Linked DNA regions of Neodiprion lecontei. The protein of the gene in region 2 binds, or shares a complex with, the protein of the main gene of each other region. Links are inferred from orthologs where the notes say so. Each region holds a gene or a part of one and is shown on either strand. Other genes may lie near its edges.

Region 1 (9,747 bases), about 3.0 Mb from region 2:
AAAAATTATCCTGTTTCCCTGTGGATCTGGTACCGGAAGGCCGACAAATTGTCTGAAACGCAAGATTCTTCAGCTCGGAAAATTCCGTTGAATACTCCCACGAAACGTAATCTGCATATAGACGTGAAAAAGCTAAATTCAAGCTGTATGGAAAGTAACCACGCCCGCAAATGCACATTTATACATATGTAGGTAAAACCTGAATTACAAGACTGTTCGGTTACATGCCTCAATTGCATAACGGAATGTGTGTGTAACAGTTCAACCGCAGCCAAAGGAATGTCGTAACAATTTGCGAAAAACACAGCTTGTTCAATACGTTGGTCAATACACATACCTGAGCTTTAAAAGTGGAAACAGTTTTTCATCGAGCGTTCAATTTTATTAAACTTACATGTGAAGGTGAATGCACATCCAGACGATGCACGTGACGTTTAAAGGAGACGTTCGAAATTTCATTTAGATATCATTTACATATCATAGTTCAAATGGAAGGCAGATTAATGATACTCCTTGCTGGATTACGTATAGAAACATATCATTGCGTCAGGGTACAACGTTGTTTGTGTCTCATATCGATTAAGAAATTAAACGGAAAAGATGTTTGACGACTTTCACAGCCACGTAGCTACAGGAAGTTTCAGAGCACAGACATTTCCCATTAAAGGGTATCAAGACACCTATTATCGGTATTTTACTAGCTGAAGCTGAAGACTGATGTACGAATCCCGCGAGTAAGCAAAATATGAACGGCTCACCGTGTATGAATGGAATTGTTTATCGGAGTGCAGCGGTATATTATAAGAATCTGGAGTATAGTAGACGGGAGGAGAAATTGATTGGATCGCAGTATAGGTATACGGTATGTTTGTAACCTTAGAGTCCTGTTATTGGCAGCTGTGTAAATTGCACTGTAGAAGTATTAATTGCCGATTCACGAAAAAAGCTATTACGTCTGCAATTCTGGAATATTACCATGGAAAACTTTCACTTATTCATTACTCCTGACTGTTACTCTACGCGGGAAAAGATACTGTGGTAGATCATATAAAATTATCTATTTAAATGAATTAGAGCGTACTGTAAAATCTTAGGTAAATCATCTGCTATGCGGGATAACAGTTACGAATATAATTAATTTGTCAAACGTACAGTGCTCGCAATGAATGCTGCAGACATTCCATCTTGGGATCACGGTTGGCAAAAAACTCGGGAATTGTCGCCCTCATCCTGTAGTAAACACTCATGCAGCGAAGGGTGGCTTCCCTGTCGTAATAGCAGCTATGGGTGAACAGAGCCAATTGTTCGACAGGAACACCCGGGATGCCTCTGGCTTCCGTCCACTTTTGCAGATCATCCAAGACCTCATCGGTGAGTTCCGGGTACTTGGCACGAGAGTCTTGAATCGTATGTCCCAAATGCATCATGACGAAGCAGCTTGAACAACTGTTAGTTTATGTTGGCTGTTTGACCTGACGATGAGCATTCACCTCACGCTACAACACAAGTGATGGGAGAAAAATGATACCTACGGTGATTGGAGAAAATTTTTTTTTATCCTTAATGATATAAAATGACAGCCACCAACTAACGTCGTATTGTCATGTTATAATTTTAGACTCGCTTGCGTTTTGATCCTTATCTAGTATAATGGACTTCACAATTGCGGAAAGCAATGTACGCAAAACGCAGTACGATAAAACGGTTCGTGGTATCGCTCGAGCAGTTACGATCAGAGACTGACCACAGTACATGCATGCGGTTTCGACGTACGAGTATCGTAATCCAGCCTATATTCCCTGAGCAGGGTGGCAACTTCTTCTCTTCATTTAATTAAGCATTGTCTGCGCCTTTGATTTAATTCCATGCGTCACTTCTCATTCATTACTATGCGTAACTATTTCCATAATGTCCCGGTATTTATATGTCTCACGTGTTTTGCATGTGACCGTACAGCGTATATAACATACGAATTATTCCCAGTTGCTCAGTTTCGCGGACGTAGGTGAATTATTCCGAATTTAAAATGCAGTAGGCCGCGCAGTAATCGTAAACATCATTTATACGCTCGGAAACCGTATAAGTCTGTTTGAGCCGCAATAAAATTGTTCAAAACTAAATAAGTAGGATATTGTATAACAAGGAGGCAAACTCGGCGAACAAGTACACGAGGCCAGAAAAGACCGTTGCCTTCTTGTTGCAAGCGATTCTATATGTATAAACAAGAGTATGTTACACGTTTTTTCACAAAGCTCGAATTCGAAGTTCGGGTCGCGTGATGTCAGATTTGTTCGCGACAGCGCATGCGCGCAGTACTGAAAAGACCACTTTCAACTCCTAGGATTTAAATGTGGTCTTTTCAGTACTCCGCGCAGGCGCATTCATAGACTAACCCAGCCGTCTTAAAAACGGGTATTTTCTGTACGAAAAACACACGTGGAAAAACGCGTAAAACATGCTCGCGTTATATAAATATGTTTCTTTTTTTTTTACTTGGAGCACATGAAATTTGCACATTCCTTTGCCACATCATACGTCGTGCGTGAACGAGCTGTATATTTATATTTTCGAGTACAGCCTAGCAGCGATTCGCGATGTCACGCTTTGACACAAACCTCAAAACTTGTAATTAGACGATCTACTGGATTTCATCGACTACATGATCGTGGTCGTCAGTTCAACAGACGTAACGAAGTTTCAGTTCAACATACAGACAGAAGAATGAATGACCCGATTACGATTTACAATTAGTTCGTTTTCCATTCCGCTGTGTTTCCGTATTTTGATTTTTACCCCGTAATACTTACAATTACATATTCTTCGTTAGTTTGCCATATTTCCAAGATGTTAGTTCATGCCAACGATACGAACATCTTAATCCTTGAACCATATCTGTAGTTTCCAGTGTGGTAGCATGGTCCAGTTATCGCGGTTTATAGTGATACTTCGTACCTTTTTCGTATAACGCAGGTACTAGAACTAGCATTCACGTATGAACTTGTTGCGGTGTTCCTCTTCATACGCACTATTAACATATTTTGCTGTAATACCGCAGTGTCAAATTATATACTTCAGCCTATGGAGGTAAACATCAACGCATTAGCTATGCCATTAATTAATTTAATTGTCAAATTAACAGCAGCAGTTCTGCATCCATTGCGTCACGTGTACTCATATTCTGATTCAAGCCACACTGCAGATTTTCGAACAAGATATTGGGTATTCATTTTTCATCCATCTCGGAATGGAGCAAGGCCCTCAAACTTAATCTGAGCGGTACCAAACATCCCGAGATCGGATCGTCTATCGGCTGCCAATTTATCCGCCATGTATAATCGAGAACTATGTTTGGACTAGCATAAGAAACATTCCATCACAGAATTCACGGAGAACGTTTTCTCGAATCAGTATAATACGTATAGTTCGTTCGATCGGTGAAAAATCCATTTATACTTGTACGACCACAATGTAAAAAAGTTTTCCGTTTGGCACGAAAATCTATACACATGTAAAGAAACGTACCGGATAATCATGATCCGTGATCTACGATTAAGCCCCCCGATTGGTATCATAGTCGCGTGAATCACGCTTGGAGATCTACCTATACAGGGGTTTGTAAAACATAGAAACGGCAGGGCCTTCGGGTGTGAGCAATCGGGCAAACCGAATACGGAAATTGCGTGCAGCAAAGACCTTATAGTAATCCCCGCTGCTGGGTAGGGGCGCAGTGGAAAGGCCGACGGTGGACGACGTTTCCGTTCGGTACCACACCGAGACGAGCCCGACGACCAATCGCGTACCGACGACGTACGTTCATTGATAAGCGCGTACTCCGGACGGTCGGGTGCGGGGTGTTCCTCGAATAGAACGTGACGTCATGTAGGCGGCCGGTAGCGCCGACGCCGAGGGCATATGCGCGAGCGTCGCCGGCCGTGATTTCGGGGTTTCGGGCGTCGAGCGGGGTGGTTTCAAAAAGGATTTCGGGGCAGCGCGGATCACGGCCCTTGCTGCTCGCGGATCGTCAAGGTGACCTTGGGCCTGCGATAACCGTTATACGTGGAATTATCACTCGGGGGGGATATGCCAGAGGGTTGCAGATATCGGAGATTGTCGGCTATATTGATTGGTCTTTTGTGCGAAAGCAGCCACTACACCTCCTGTCTAGCTCTCTTTCTCTAGGAGCGGAGCGCGTCATCGATCCGCGAGTGACCCATATCCGTTGCCACTCCTCCCACCTCCCAGCTCCCACCTCCCGCCACCCCCAACCCACCCCGCTCGCCTTTTTTCCCCTTGTGCCTCTCGCAGCAGCCCTGCCTGCTGCCAACGAGCAGATCTTCGCGGGTTCGGGATGATAATCCAGTGAAACTCACTCCGCGACGAACTCCACCTGCAACAGCAGCCCTGGCCTGCCAAAATCCCTTCAATTCGGTCATCGTAAGTTTCAAACTTAAGTCTTTATTTCTTCATTATTATCATGACGGTATAAGGCACCGTATAAGGATCTTCGCTGATCCTCATTCGCCCTCTCATTATCATTTTTACATCCAGTGTCGTGTCGGCTTTGTTACGGGCCCCGATATTACCCTCGATGGCGGTCTTGTCATTCGAGAGAAAATGATGCTACGAACATTCGGCTATGGCTACATCGTCTATCGTGATGATGGTAATGGTTGTGCAGGAGCATTGTAGTGGTCGTGGTTGTAGCGGTTCAGTGGTTTGTGCGCGCCCGGTACGCGGTTGGTGATCAATAAGCAGTGTCGTATCAATTCTGGGTGCTGTTCGGCGTTATCTGATGATATCTGAACGGTTGTTGCCTTCAGCCATCTTCACCCGACACCCTGGTCCAAAGTGTATATCTCGTTACAATTTCTCTCTCGAAAGTTCAACTTGTCCGAATTTCTGTCCCACTTGATTGCGATATCTGCAGTTACGGAATTATCGGTCTCGCTTCTTCCGCATAAAACGCGTTATTTTACCAGTATATCGAGGTGATTTCATAATAAATACGGAAATATTTCAAGTTTTATGAGAGAAGCTTGATAAGTCCCGTCAACGTTAAGCGTTCCAAAGTATGAAGACTCGTTATTGTCAGTTTCAACTTACGCTCAGTGATCAGGTACAAAGTGTAGTTCATCACGGTATTTCGTAAATTTGTAAGACATGCATCCGTGTGCATGAATGTGGCTCTGTATATTATTAACGGTAACAATATATAGTGCTGTTATTGCGAAATTGTTGCAAAAGATTGAAATAAAAAACAACAGTAGCAGGTAAAGGTTCAATAATCATGATGCAATGCTACAGCTGGTAGACAATTATAAGAATCATCGATCGTTCTGCCGATTTCGTCTCGTTTCCATTATCGTTCCATAGTAAATTTTCATTGCGACCCCCGTTCCGGAATTCGGTAGTCATCTAGGCGCGGAGACGACGATAAAGGTGGTGCCGCTCGCTCGAGTTACGCCACTGTAGACGAGTGGGGGGTGGTTTTCTCCGTCGGTTTTCGTCGTCCTCCGACGCCCGCCGTCGCGGCGTTCCGTCAGTGACGGTGGCGGGTTCCAGCAAACGGTGGGCCGACCCTTGGTCACTCGAACTGTACGTTACACGTCCGAAAGATAGTCGGGATTTGGGTTGAACCCGATTTTTTTGTTCCTCGCTTTTTCTGCATACTTTTTATCGCCTGTACCTTCATCTTCCGTCATACCCGTGGCTGAAGAATGATGACGAATAATACGAGACGACCTCAGAACGAAGGGTCACTTTTTTCTTGATAAACACCTCGACCCCTTTTTTTCTCTACCCTTTCATCAGAGTAGCCACTGTCTTGACCGCAATGTACAGTATACTATTTCTCCAACGAGATAGAGATTCTAGTGTCGGAAATTACATCCTCTGAATTGATTGTCGGGTTTAAGCAGTGATCAGATAACTGGATATGTTACAGTGCTGCGGCGTTGGAGGTGGAGGGGCATCGACGGGGCCCCAGCCGCCACAACTGCAGGGGACCAACACAAGAACCACCATCATGCAAGACCCCGTCCTTGAAACTATCCTCGAGGTGAGTAACTCAGGATGAACTGATTCGACTCGACGGGTGGTCCCGAGGGCTTATATTGTATCTTTCAATTTTCGAATTTTTAATCCGAGTTCACTGATTGGTCAAGCAATGATTCCGATTGGCTGAAAGACCGGTCAAATTTGAAAGTACGCAGCAGAATAGACCTTTTATGGAATGTTACCCTTATACTTTAGTGTGTATCGAATTGCATGATAGAGAAACAAAAGTACGCCGCACCTTTAATTAATGCAATAAATTCAAGTAACTAATTTATCTGACTATGCAGAATTATTATTCATATGCTGGGTATAACGAACGGAATTTAGAAAAGTTTAAATCTACCGTACTTGCCCGGTATCAGCTTCTAATAACTTTACGTAAATATTATGCAAGAGTTGATAGTATAATATGTTATAATGCACTTTCACGACACTCCCGTAGGGTCGCGTTTCAAACCCGCTCACACCGCACACGGTATGTGTACCAACGTGTACGTATTGCCGGCCTGTTAAGCTGAGCGAAAAATACCGAGGAATGTTTGATATGCGTTCAGTTGCCTAACGTAATTTTAATAACCTTTATGAGGCTACACGCTACCGTATTGGATTTTCAACACAACTTAATACCATGTAGCTCCGCAGGCTCAAAGGGCCTTTTCTGGGCTGATTCCTTTCCAATTTCATGATGGCGTTGCGCGTTCTTACGGTGGCGGCGATTTTCTAGCGCATGTCTTACTTCACTGCTAAACCGTCGTTTCCGAATGTTGAGCTTTAGACAGCGTTGACGCTTCAATAATACGCAAATCTCCTTAATTCGATTTTCGCTTATCGTACATATACTCCTCCAGCTTTAGTTAGATATTCAGCTATCCTACTCGACTTCGAATTTGACAGCTTAGCACAGCCGGCCACAGCAATGAAATCCACAGGCATGTCTATGCAACTATTTTTTGAACTACAATACAAGACCCTCAAATAACTCTGCGAATAACCGTAATTCTACCATGAGGTTCGGATGAATATCCGAAATATAACCCAACACTCTCAGCAATTATATATCTCTATCTTAAAATGAAATAATCTAACGTAGCAATTCGTTCGTTTCATTCTGTAGCAAATGCGAGAGGCCGAGGCCCGCAGAGCAGAATTGGAGAGGCAACATGCGGAGACGCAGGCGCAGTTACGTGACAAGTTAGCTGGCCGGTATCCAGGACCAGAGTCTGTTGAAGCACTGCAATCGAAGATTAGGGAACTCGAAAAGAAAACAGAACTCCAGATGGTTAGACACGAAGAACTGTCCCTAGAGCTGACCAGCTTGAGACGGGCACGTAGCAGAGGACCGGTTGCTAGCAACGTGACTTCAACAGTCCCTATGTCCACGTGGCCCCCTGCTGGTTCTGAAATTGATCGAATTATTGCCAAAATTGAACAGGACAACAGGTGATAGTCATGGTGTAATACAAATCTATGTGCTTCATTAAGCATTTCATTCAGCTTCATAACGCTACATACTTACCAGATTTTGCTAATAGAATCACCCACATAAACCAGGGAAATATATTGTACCATGTAAAATTAGATATGACACCTTATTACTAAAAGTAATCAATGTGTCCAGTGGTTCTTGTAATGTAAATATAAACTGATGTGGCTCAAATGACGCATCGAAAATTCAATTGCAATACACTGGTCGACCAAAAATATCCAGTTTGTGTGATATAAATAGTCAGAATGCTAGTAACGTAATAAGTAGAGGGTGTTATTTGAAAATGCCTTAGAAACCTTGTACCACCTACATTCATTCCATCTAATTCTTTCTGTCTTTTAATTTCGATTACACACACTCAGCTTAAGTAAAACCAGTGCCAGTAGGATTCTGCACGAGTTGGATCATTCGAGGAGCAACGTGACAACTCAACAGCCTTCTGGTTCCCAAAGTATATTACGTTCAAGTTCAGAAAATCTTCCCAACTTGGGGCAACATCAGCACCCTCCACATCCGCATGCATTAAACCTTGGTCTACCGTCACAAACATCACACGTGAGTTGTCATTGATAAATAAGCTACGATTTTATTGCTCTATAGAATATATAGAATGACTCTTTCAACACTAGTTTCTAATACCTGCACAGCTTTCTTTGTATGGTAACATTATTGTACTAACTTATCTGAAAAAATATTTGACAATATAGTAAGTTACTCATGCTGATATCTGTAATTAATAGTACGCTGGCTCTCCGATGCCATTAACACCAATGATGCCTGGCTGTCCACCGTTAACACCAAATGGTCCACCGTACCACTACAGCGAGCCGATTCCACCTGCACCATCTCTTTCAACTAGCCAATCACAGCCTGCGTTTCAGCAGAAGCTACAACAATATCAGCAACAACAACAGCAACAGCAGCACGAACTATCAAGCTCGCACTCACAAGGCACCCTACCGTCTCAACAGAAACAACTACAAACACACACGCAGTTTTCCGGCAGTCAATATCAAGAAAGTTATCCACATACACAAACGTACCAACAACCAATACAGCAACAACAACATCCTGTTTCAACTTCGTACTTAACTTCTGCTACCGGAGGTCAGAATGTCATGCCTCATTATACGCAACCGAGTCAGACAAATCAAGGCTATCAACTCAACGGTACTCAACAGGTAGGTTTTTCCAGCAACAATAATACGAACATTGGTCAAGAATTTTTCCAAGCATGTTTCTTTGCTTTTTATTACACGCGAATACCTGGTGAATAAAAAATTGGAAAACATAGTCATTATAAAATATTGTAATATACTAGCAAGTTAAGATTCATGGTAAAGAAGACCCAGGCAAAATGTACATGATGAACAGTGAAAATATGTAGATTTCATAAAAATGACTTACATCCTCTAATTTTATCATGTCAATGGATTATTTTTTATCTCATTAGCAGACAACATACCCAACGCTGTCCATGACTTCTCATCCCAATGGAACTTACAACTCTGTAACAACCAGTTATGCATCGCAACTGACTCATCACAACTATTCTGGACCACATACAAGTATCCCCCAGACAACACTTTCTTCTCTTCCACCATATTCGACAACAACACCTGCCTATCACTCAACATTGGGTACCTTGACTAGCTCCTCACAAAATATGCTTCCTTTTTCAACTGGGCAGAGCACGTTTTCGACTGCTGGTTCTAACTACTCTACAGTTGGAACAAATGCATACGGCACGTCAGGAGTGAACACAGGTATAAATGATGTACCACTGATTAAAAAAATTCTCCTACCAATTTTTCACACAGCATACAACTTATTTGTATCATACAAGTTCATAACTTGTTTTTATTACAAATTAGGTCCTACTTCAAGTGGCTTATTACAAGCTATAGGAGATCCCCTCCAAGCTATGCAACAGTTGTCGGCGCAGTCACAAGCTAGCCAACTCCAACAACAAGCTATTATACATCAAATTCAACAGAGCTTGCGAGCCAGCTCGCCAACCGCCACTGGATCAACTGGTCACCACTTTTTGGGACCGAGACAAATGCCAAAAATCCCAACAGGCATTTTATCCAATCCAATGGATCGTCTGACTAATGACAATATGGTGTCTGAAGGACAAGTGGACATGTTAGATATTCCTGGAAAAGGCAGGTGTTATGTTTACATCGCACGGTTCAGCTACG
Region 2 (9,586 bases):
ATGGTCGGAATGTTAAACGTAAGGACTGATTTGTAAAAATATTTGTACAGAAGATGTGTAACGACAAACCAATTAATCGAGATCCTAGGTTTTTTTTTAATAATTCCATTCGCAGAAAAATTATTTTAACAGAACGAATTTATAGGAAAGCAAAGCACGACGAGTGAAATGTCCGCATTAACTCAGTTGACTTGGTCCTACGATTTGCGAAGAAACTATCAAACTAAGAAGTCGAAATTCCGAAGAAAAAGACCGGGTACATTTTACATAGTTAAATTATGCGAAATCGCGAACATCGTTCACACCGAATTCATTGAATTATTCAAAATGCATAAGTAACACGCGTGGCTTGAGACCTGAAAAGATATCGTTCGGATTTATTAATCCTTAATTTGCCTATCTCAAACATGCAAGGTTACCTGTATCCATTGTTTTGTAGCAACTAAGTTCATAATATTCAGAGCCTCGATTAGGGAAACGAATGTATATCCGATGGTATCAAAAGTTTAACGGGTATCCGCCTGCTGTGCGTATAATCTGGCACGCACCAAGTATGACTTTCCGCACAGCTATTATATTTACGTCTTACTCGAATTACTTGTATCCATTACACAAGCGGTCGTTAAATATTCCCACGCAGGCGTTCATGTGGAGAAAATTACCAGACAGGCTTCATATTCCTCGAGCAAACGGCAGACTCTGAACGATAATCATAAGTCGCGAGCAAATTTTTTCACAGAGAGCCTCGAGTAGCATAATCGCAGCAGGTTCGCCAAAAGTTTAATTAAATAGTTTGATTGAGCTTACCGCTGACACGCAGAGAAGAAAGACAAGTACCGGAAGTCCGGTTAATCGAGCTCTGGCGTGAGGTCGAAGACTTTTTTAATCGAACTCTCTCATTTATTTCTCACCTCCAATATTCCATTACAAAGTTTCGACAGTGGCTTTTGACGCAAAAAAAAAAAAACAAACAAACATTATACGGCATTTTTCATCTGCATGGATGAACATAAAAAAATAAATATACTATGGGTCCATTTAATTTTTTACCGACTGTATATTTATTTGATTCTACGGAAATGAGCTGGATACAGTAGAAAAGAAGATTTTGTTAGAAACTTGAAAACTCATTGCGTTCGACTAATAATAATTTCTTTACTCAACATTGCGAGTTTCGTTTATTCAAGATATACATACTTATGTAGACTTTTTACAGAACGTCGGATAAATTATTCATTTGAGTTGCGACGTATTTTTACATTTCTAGCAATTTATTTGTTCCAAATTGTGGATGGCTCTCTTCGCGATTTTATTTCTTCGATCCAATATGATTTGCAGCTGAATGAATGCCGCGGATTCGTATTCATTTGAAAAGCTTCGACTGTGGACTAAATCAACAGCACGAGAATTTTCACACCAATTTTTTTACAGGTACTCGATTATTTGCACGCAATAAATGTGGAACGCCTGCAGCGTATATTTATCTTCGGATAAAACATGATTGGTGAAAAAATCAATAACATCGAATTGAGGATTAGCTTCGCGAGTTCGTAACCGGTTTGACAATCCTCACTCTGAGCCAATATTTTTTATCTCTTGACGCACGACAAGTCAGACGCGACCCAACACCATTTTCCACAGTTGTAAACTTCAATGCGTCTTATTCTCATCCATACCCATCACCCGGCCGGTATACATATATCTCAGTTATACCGGCGAATTTCATCCCTTCTATTTTTATATACAGGGCTCAATTTATACCACCTTTCACAAATCCTGCTCACGAAGCATTTTTCAGAATTCTTATTCTTTTTATAACTATGACGCACAAACATGGCATTTTCGTGAGTAGAAGGATTATACGATAAGAAATAATCATCTGTAAATATATTGCGAACATTTTAAGTCGACAACTGAAAAATTTCCAGTTTGTCGTACTTTCTAAGATTAAAAATCTCTGCAGGTGGAATAAAAATTAGCCAGAGTTCTTTCCACACACTTTTAGCGCGCTCTGTTAATAATATATATAATGTATTATAAACGTAATAATAATAATGTTAATATTATATTTTCGATTTTTATTTCTTCTTTATTTCATATTTATCCATTCTCTTTACTAAGCTAAACCTCCATTCAATTACTCTCACTGCCCGTCATAAGCTCATGAAATTTTATTCCTGCTCATGTGTGTTAAAAGCTGTGACTTTTTTTTAACATTTTTTTTTTTTTCGCGATTCCAAGAACCTTCACATCCAGCCAAAAAAATACCAGCAACTATTATACAAGTGATTCGCTTCTACGTTTTAATTTCAACCACGCATCGGTGATTTGTCCAGCGCGTGGTGTACAATCAATTTTCCATTAACCGTATTGATTTGCGAAAACCTATTCGATCCTTCCGGTCCGAAACGCTTTTAGCTGTTTGTCATTTCTCGCTGATTTACTTTTAGTGCTTCCACTCGAAATTGTTGACGGCTGATGCTTATCTCCGCGATTCGGTAATCAACTTCAGGAGTGACCGAGCCCATGAAGAGGGAACCCGACGCAACTGGGTCCGTCGGTAATTCACAAGACTACAATACGAACCGGAAATCGGACCGTGAACCGAGAGTATTAGGTGTACGCGTAATTTGTCACCCGCGCGAGAATCCGCGAACAATTCCTCTTTATCCCCGGCATTCTTCCGAACATCTATTAATCACCGTTTTCATTTTTTTGCAAATTTTACGAACTCAACTTTTGCACCTGACAGCTAGAGCGCGTAGAGCTTTTGCAAATCGAAATCTCCCGTCACGTTAATAAATAGTCCTTTACTTTCGCCCTGTCATTTTTCTGCTCATTAATTTTTGCCTCGTTATAATATCTTGCAAGCTCAATTCTCATCCGAAAGTCAATTTACCCATTTGAAAAGTGTATATACCTACTATCTTATTACCGGGCCCATAAACGGAGAGTTATTGTGCATCGTAGTTTCAACGTGACTTGGGTAACTTTTCAAGTAAATCACCTGGAAGCTGCTATCGCATATTGTCTTGCTCCGATCAATGCTACCTGTAGAATCTGAAACGTTTAGCGTTACTCGGTATTTCCGTATGTTAAGATCTCTTCTGTCTTGTATTTTGATCTTTATCCATGTTTATCCGTTCTCAGATGTTTAACTTAGTTCTCCCTTGGGATTTCTACCCCGTATATTGTCCCGTTATAGCTATTTTGAATTTTTTTTAAGCTTATTTTTCGATTGAAAAATTCAAATGCTACAGCGCTTATACCATACTAGAACGCATTACACGTTCAATCGTTAAATTGAAATAAACCACTCATTTTTTCTACTGTAGACTTTCAAACTTTTTTCCCCCTTGTAATTTAACAACTTCATTTTTTTTTTATTCTTTTTTATTTAATAAGGCCTTACTGAGACTTCTGAATTCGTTTGAAAACAAATTGTGAGTATCTTTCTACACCTTTAAGTGAACATTGGTTCGAGAGAATTCCACTCAACTTTTACATGAACACTTCGCAGGTAGATATCATTCAACGGAAAGTAATCGAGGGAGTTTATTGTTTCCTGCCATACGATTTCGGAATACAAGCGACAAAATTTGTTTGTACCTGTTGCAGCGTTCCTTATTTTAATTACTTACTTGTTTCACTCTATTTACTTATTTTGTTTGAAAATTATCCAAGTAACACACCCGCAGATCGATAGGGAATTTGCGATACTTCGTCAAACTCGGGGCGTTTGAATTCCGAAATTCTGCAAATGCAAAACTGACGCGTTCGCTATATACTCGTCCAATGCCTATTGTAGGTCCCTCGCTTTTGCCCCCCTCGCTATTCTTTTATCCCACCCTCATTGCCGAGATTTTTCCTTGTAACCAACACACCTGAAGGACCCCCGCGCATATATCGGTACGATCTTACACAATCGGCAAACAGCTTCCCCTCCGACAAAGTAACAAAAGGATGTCGAGAACATTGTCGAGTCGAGTGGATTGCTCTGGACTAATACTCGTTCCGGTAATTCAGACTCACAGAATGACATTTCCTTCTCAACGGTAGTTGAAAGTCCTCAGACGAGCACCAACCTTTGAGATTACTTTGTACCTGATAAAAACTTCGCTTGCCGATCAAGATACTCTACCCGATCCAATTTGTACGCAACAGGTATTCTATCTATACGTGCTAAAAATATCGCAAATATTGCAAATACTGAACTGTCAACTCGGCATTGTGCCGAGGAAGTTTGATTACGAACAATTTTTCGTGTACAGCAGGCGATGGGAAAATGCTTTATACCCTACGGATAGATGGGTAAATCGTAGTAAAAATTAACAGAGAAGCGGAGCGACGGGGTAGCAAAAATTGGTCTCATTGAATACAAGCGAGTGTAACGAGAGGAATTCGGTATGGACAATGAAAGACTGAATTGTTGCGTTGTAAAACTTACCTTCCACCGTCTCTGCAATCTTCAGTTCCACTTGAGTGTTAAAAAGATCGGGTATCCGTCAGCTGGGCATTCTATTCTTCTGGTCGTCTTTTCTATTCCTCTATTTCAACATTAATCACCACCCGCTTACCACTATCACTGATTTTCTGGAATAATTTCATTATTTATCACATAAACGATTGTTCGATATCCACTAAAAATTCACTCGCGCGCACCGTTAACTAAAGCTACGCAGGCTACGCGTAGCGCCTGCAAGCGCCGCACGGTCGCTACACTAACTGGCGCTTTCAATTGAATTTCGAACTCCGCAAGCTCGTAACCAATGAAATTCAAGCCAGCGCCTGCGCAATCGCGAGTTACAACCAATCGCATACCGCCAAACGCCGTCTCAAAGACAATCTCCAAATCCCTTAGATTTCTTGTTTTTTTCCACCTCCGTATTTTTTGTTTCGACGTTTCCTCCGGTCGGTTCGATTTATAGTGCAAATCGTATACAGAAAGCATGTGATATTAATTTGTTGCGCACGATCGTTATGTAAGAATTTAATTTTTTTCAATATATAAGTGATCTTAAACTTATACAGAAACTGTGGGAACCTATTATCGCGTACAATCAATCTTGTTGAGAGGGAGGGGAGTTTGGAGGTAAGGGATCGAAAGTTATAAAACATACTCGCACCAGCCTAAAACTCATTTCGGAAGAATAAACAAGAAGCAAAAAATTCTAAAAGAATAATAAATCGTATTCTTTTCCCCTTGTGTTTCGGTATTTCATTTATTATAAAATCAAGCTTCGTTTGTAATTTCCGTATAATTGCCTCAAGCTATAACAAGTTATACCTTCTAAGGAGATACACCTGCATTACCTCAATATTTCGGATCAATACCAGCAGGTGATTAGATCACGCGATTTTCAAAATTACAGCCCACATTCACCGGATCACATTACAATCGAATCGTTAAAAATTTATCGTAATGACATGCATTATTCATTTATCGTTCACCCACCGCGTGAGTTTTAAAACAGACAATGCAATTGCTCGCCATCATATTCAAATCAAATAAATTGCGTATAGGTACGTATATAGTTATATACCATAGATATATCCCCGAGAGTTTCCGCGCAAATAATTCAATGCGTCGACACCGCACTATCCTTGTCGACAAAATGCACGCGTTATTAAAATGCTAATATCTGGAGACGAGAAATCCTTTTTCCGGTATGTTCAAGCTTACCATTCAGATAATCCACTTATCGTTAGAATCGACGAAGAGGAAACATCCCCTTTACCACAGAGCAGAAGACTAATTCACTAAAAAGCACATCTCACAATACTCGAAGCACAATTATTATTGCCACGTATTAAACACGATGGTAAACATTAGGTGTAATCGCGTAAAATCGCGTCGGCACTCTTGCCTCTGCGAGAGATCCGAGTCGACTGCCAGTGGTGTACCTCGCACATTCTTTTGTTTACTGTTGATATCGGCACGAAAGGTTCGGCCTACGGCCTTGTCGATGTATAGGAAAAGGACGTTTCTTCTACATCTTCGTTTTCCTCGCTCCATTCTTACGAGAATGAAGCTTCTACCGCATACGTTGAAATTAGGGCATGAATACACACACCGATCGCGGAATACGTAGCAGCTGCGCGTCTTGTCGGCCGTCGACTTCCTCCCTTGTACGTTCGCGACGCGACGTATAATTCCGCAGTAATAAGAAACATCACAAATTAATGACGCGTATTGAAGGTGAAAAAATAAACCACGAGGGACTTGACTCTACGTAAAATGTCAAGTGTCAAAACAATTTTTTTCCCTGCGCAATGAAAAGCACCAGAATCTAACAGTGCGACGTCAAATCACTTATTCTGGCACTTATACTGTTTGCCTTATAACAAACGTTTGTATGAAGAATATAGAGGAGTTATTACAAATATGTACGGAGTATATTTCCTGGTGCTGTTACGCACGGTTTTACGGTTTTACCGGAGTGTGTGATGATGAATTTATGCAACGGGAAAGTTAAGTTTTTTTATGTACTTGATGTCAATAAACGATCAACCACTAGAGCGTATCACCAAAATTGCTTTTTGGTAAATTGCTTATTAGCTGAGAGCCATATTACCGTGTATACAGTAACGAATGTGTATGGATATAAACACGCGCACTTACGAAGCATCCATCAATGAACATTAATTTATTCGATAAACTCACGATATAATAATGCAGTAGAAGCGTTTCAACAAGCGCACCGGCATGAGTGTATAAGAGGCAAACTCCCCTTCGTTTCAATTGCCTGTCGACGCAGAAAGTTTTTATTTGACATGATTCCCAGCTAAACGAGGCAATCATTTGCAGTTCCGTACGGTGAGGCGTGAAGAGGCTCCTCTCGAACCTACGTGACCTGCATTCCCCCGGAACTTTTCGCAGGGTGATAAACACTCCCATCGTTTGTAGAGGTCCTTTCTACTCATCAGCTATGTCGAAGGTCAGCTCTGGATGGCCGATATTTTCGATGATTATTTACAAATAGCAAATAAAAACCACGGATGATGTAATGTAATATAATGTCAATGTAATTAAAAATTTCAGAATAAAGCCTTGACGAACAGTATGAATTTTTAGTCGACATGAGTTTTTTTTTTTATATTAGCTAAATCTTTTACACTTTTCAATTAGCATTGCACAATACTGGACTGGAAAGCCAAATTAAATTCTGAAATGGGTAATCACAGGTGAACAACGTGCTCATCTCCTAAAATTAGCAAAAAAAAAAAGAAAAGACATCAGTCCGACAAGTGTCAGATATACAAAAAAATATATATAACTATAGATATAAGATACGCTTAATATATATTCAACATTGAGCTGATTCAGTTTAATGAAAAATGTGCCTTGAACCAATTAGCCCTCGTAAGTACAATTAATCGTTGCACCGGTAGAAAGAAACGTCATTAGTTTTGGTGTTAAATTGTCTTAATTACAAGCGTATAAATTGTACGACGTCAACAATAATCTCCAGCTAATTCTTACGTGACTAGGGCGGATTATTTACACGGCGGAGCCATTCATTAGCTAACAAAGGTTCGATACCCCGGGATACCGATAATCTTCGAATGAAAATTACTCTGTTATTTGCTCACCCAATTAATTACGGTTGAAGAACCAATTGTTACCTATACTCAATAACAATGTGTCTCGTTGCGAATGGATGGTATCAGGGCCAGACAGCCGTCTGTAAACCGACCGTGCATCCAATCTGTGTGGTTCTGCGGTTCCGTATTATGCGGGCCAGTTCTCTCTACGAAAGTCAAAATTATTAATTAGGAAGTGATACCAAGGTGGTAAATTTTACCATATGTCTAATTATAATTTTCGATAATTCGAATTGCATGTTCCTGAATCAACGTACGTAACTTTTAAACACATCAGAGGAGAAGTCAGGGTTCATCGAATTAAAACAAGTGGGGTCAACGATTGAATAACAAAATATTAGAGCACACAATGATACGAAACTCCAATGATATTGCCCGAAAAAATGTATTGTACCAAAATCGTCACAGTAACGATGAAAACCAAAATAATTAAATCTACGTAGTCGGCACTTCGACAATATGCAAAGCTAGAAATTGCAGTCACGATTTACAATATCAAAACCTTTTTATTTGTACAAATAAAAAAAAACATTTATTTTACACAGATTATCATATTATAATAATGATTTGTTTCAATTTATCCGCACAAGTATCGTGATTTATGAATAAACATTCAATTGAGAATATTTATCATATACTTCAAAAGTATATTTCAGTTCCGTTTTCGCGTTTAAAAACGTTAACCGCACCAGCTGTGATATAGTATACAACTCATGTAAATCATTTCAAGTGATGTAAATTTTTAATTGCATAATATGACAAACATTTCGTTTCATATACTCCAGACCTTCAATTTTCTAAAACGCAAGCTAGAAAAATCCTGGCAGTATATGTATGTGTGTGTATATATACTTATACTCTATATACGTATATATATATATATACATATATAGATCTCTCTATACACATATAGAGTTTACACCTCACATCACATTTACACCTCATATTCGTCGACGAAATTAGGCCTAAATTCCGCAGCTCGACGCTTGGTATCGAAGAAACATAATGACCTAATTCTTAAATTAATATCATCATACCTAAAATAGCAATTATAAGAAACAAATTAAAAATTCCATAAACATCTTATCCGAGCGTTTACAGTAATTTTGTACTCATATATTCGATTTCATTGTTTTATGCATTGATTACTCATCTCAACCTTGGAAGAATTTATTACTTGAAGCAAAACGTATATAGATACCTCATAAATACGTGCATTAGAGTATCCAGTTTAATTGGAATAAGAAACTTTATACCAATGTCAAGTTTTTCATAGGAATATTACAAATTTCAGAATTAACTCTGACAAAATATTCCATTTTTTCCCCTGTTTCAAGACGCCAGGATTTCTATGATCAATAAGCATTTTATCTATAGTTGAAGCGGTTGCAGCAATTTTACTATTAGTTTAACAGTTACGAAATTACAACCCCTTTCAAAATTCCAATACCTTAAACGAAATGAACTTAATTACCTATAATTAGGTTGCAGTGGTGCTTCAACATCAAATTATGATAATGGTCCACGTGATAAACAACAGTCGACAGTATAACTCTTTTGAATTATGTTAACTATGCTGCCAGAATAACATCAGGCCTTCCAGGGATTTAAAATTTTTTAATCGACATTTCATTGTTACTATTATTTTTTACGCTCAACTTTGTCATTCATTTTTCATTTGAAAACATTTCACAGAAAACTCGCAACATCTTCTAAAATCACCAACTAAAAGTCTTTGATTAAGATAGTTGTGCAGCAAGCTGCTCCTCCTGTTGAATTTTTCTTCTGTAATTATCCAGCGTGAATTGAATTGTAGTTTCCGAATATCGACAGGCTTCAGCACCACAGGTACAAGTAAATGACTTGCACTTTATAATCCAGAACTTTTCGCCATAATCAAAACTGAAACAAGGAATTTCGATACATTTATATGCATAATTTAATATAAATAAAGATGTTGAAGATAAAGAGAAACACAAGA

Evidence for each region.
Region 1: the proteins of voltage-dependent calcium channel type A subunit alpha-1 (region 2) and uncharacterized protein LOC107224707 are in contact, whole or in part, in a crystal structure (PDB 4Z8A), measured with the Drosophila melanogaster proteins. The link is inferred for Neodiprion lecontei from reciprocal best matches to the Drosophila melanogaster genes cac and Rbp. Residues at the interface, in NP_001245639.1 of Drosophila melanogaster: Ile1688, Gly1689, Arg1690, Arg1691, Leu1692, Pro1693, Pro1694, Thr1695, Pro1696, Lys1698, Pro1699, Ser1700, Thr1701, Leu1702; in NP_732029.4 of Drosophila melanogaster: Ile1353, Leu1355, Tyr1356, Tyr1358, Leu1363, Pro1365, Asn1366, Val1367, Asp1368, Val1372, Glu1373, Thr1378, Gly1379, Asp1391, Gly1392, Phe1393, Leu1404, Pro1406, Ser1407, Asn1408, Phe1409.

What each region holds. Positions count from the first base shown.
Region 1 is NC_060262.1:35,314,672-35,324,418, forward strand, and holds the start of uncharacterized protein LOC107224707, read left to right. Parts: upstream 1-4,785; 5' UTR 4,786-5,071; coding exon 5,072-5,116; intron 5,117-5,518; exon of another isoform or gene 5,519-5,595; intron 5,596-5,607; exon of another isoform or gene 5,608-5,835; intron 5,836-5,944; coding exon 5,945-6,058; intron 6,059-7,171; coding exon 7,172-7,497; intron 7,498-7,905; coding exon 7,906-8,098; intron 8,099-8,283; coding exon 8,284-8,724; intron 8,725-8,996; coding exon 8,997-9,309; intron 9,310-9,417; coding exon 9,418-9,747. Other genes in the region: alpha-tocopherol transfer protein, read right to left, coding at 1-52, 1,153-1,427.
Region 2 is NC_060262.1:32,356,143-32,365,728, reverse strand, and holds the start of voltage-dependent calcium channel type A subunit alpha-1, read right to left. Parts: upstream 5,892-9,586; 5' UTR 5,684-5,891; intron 4,594-5,683; 5' UTR 4,448-4,593; intron 1-4,447. Other genes in the region: histone-lysine N-methyltransferase EHMT2, read right to left, coding at 9,345-9,507. UniProt on the Drosophila melanogaster protein: Voltage-sensitive calcium channels (VSCC) mediate the entry of calcium ions into excitable cells and are also involved in a variety of calcium-dependent processes, including muscle contraction, neurotransmitter release, gene expression, cell motility, cell division and cell death.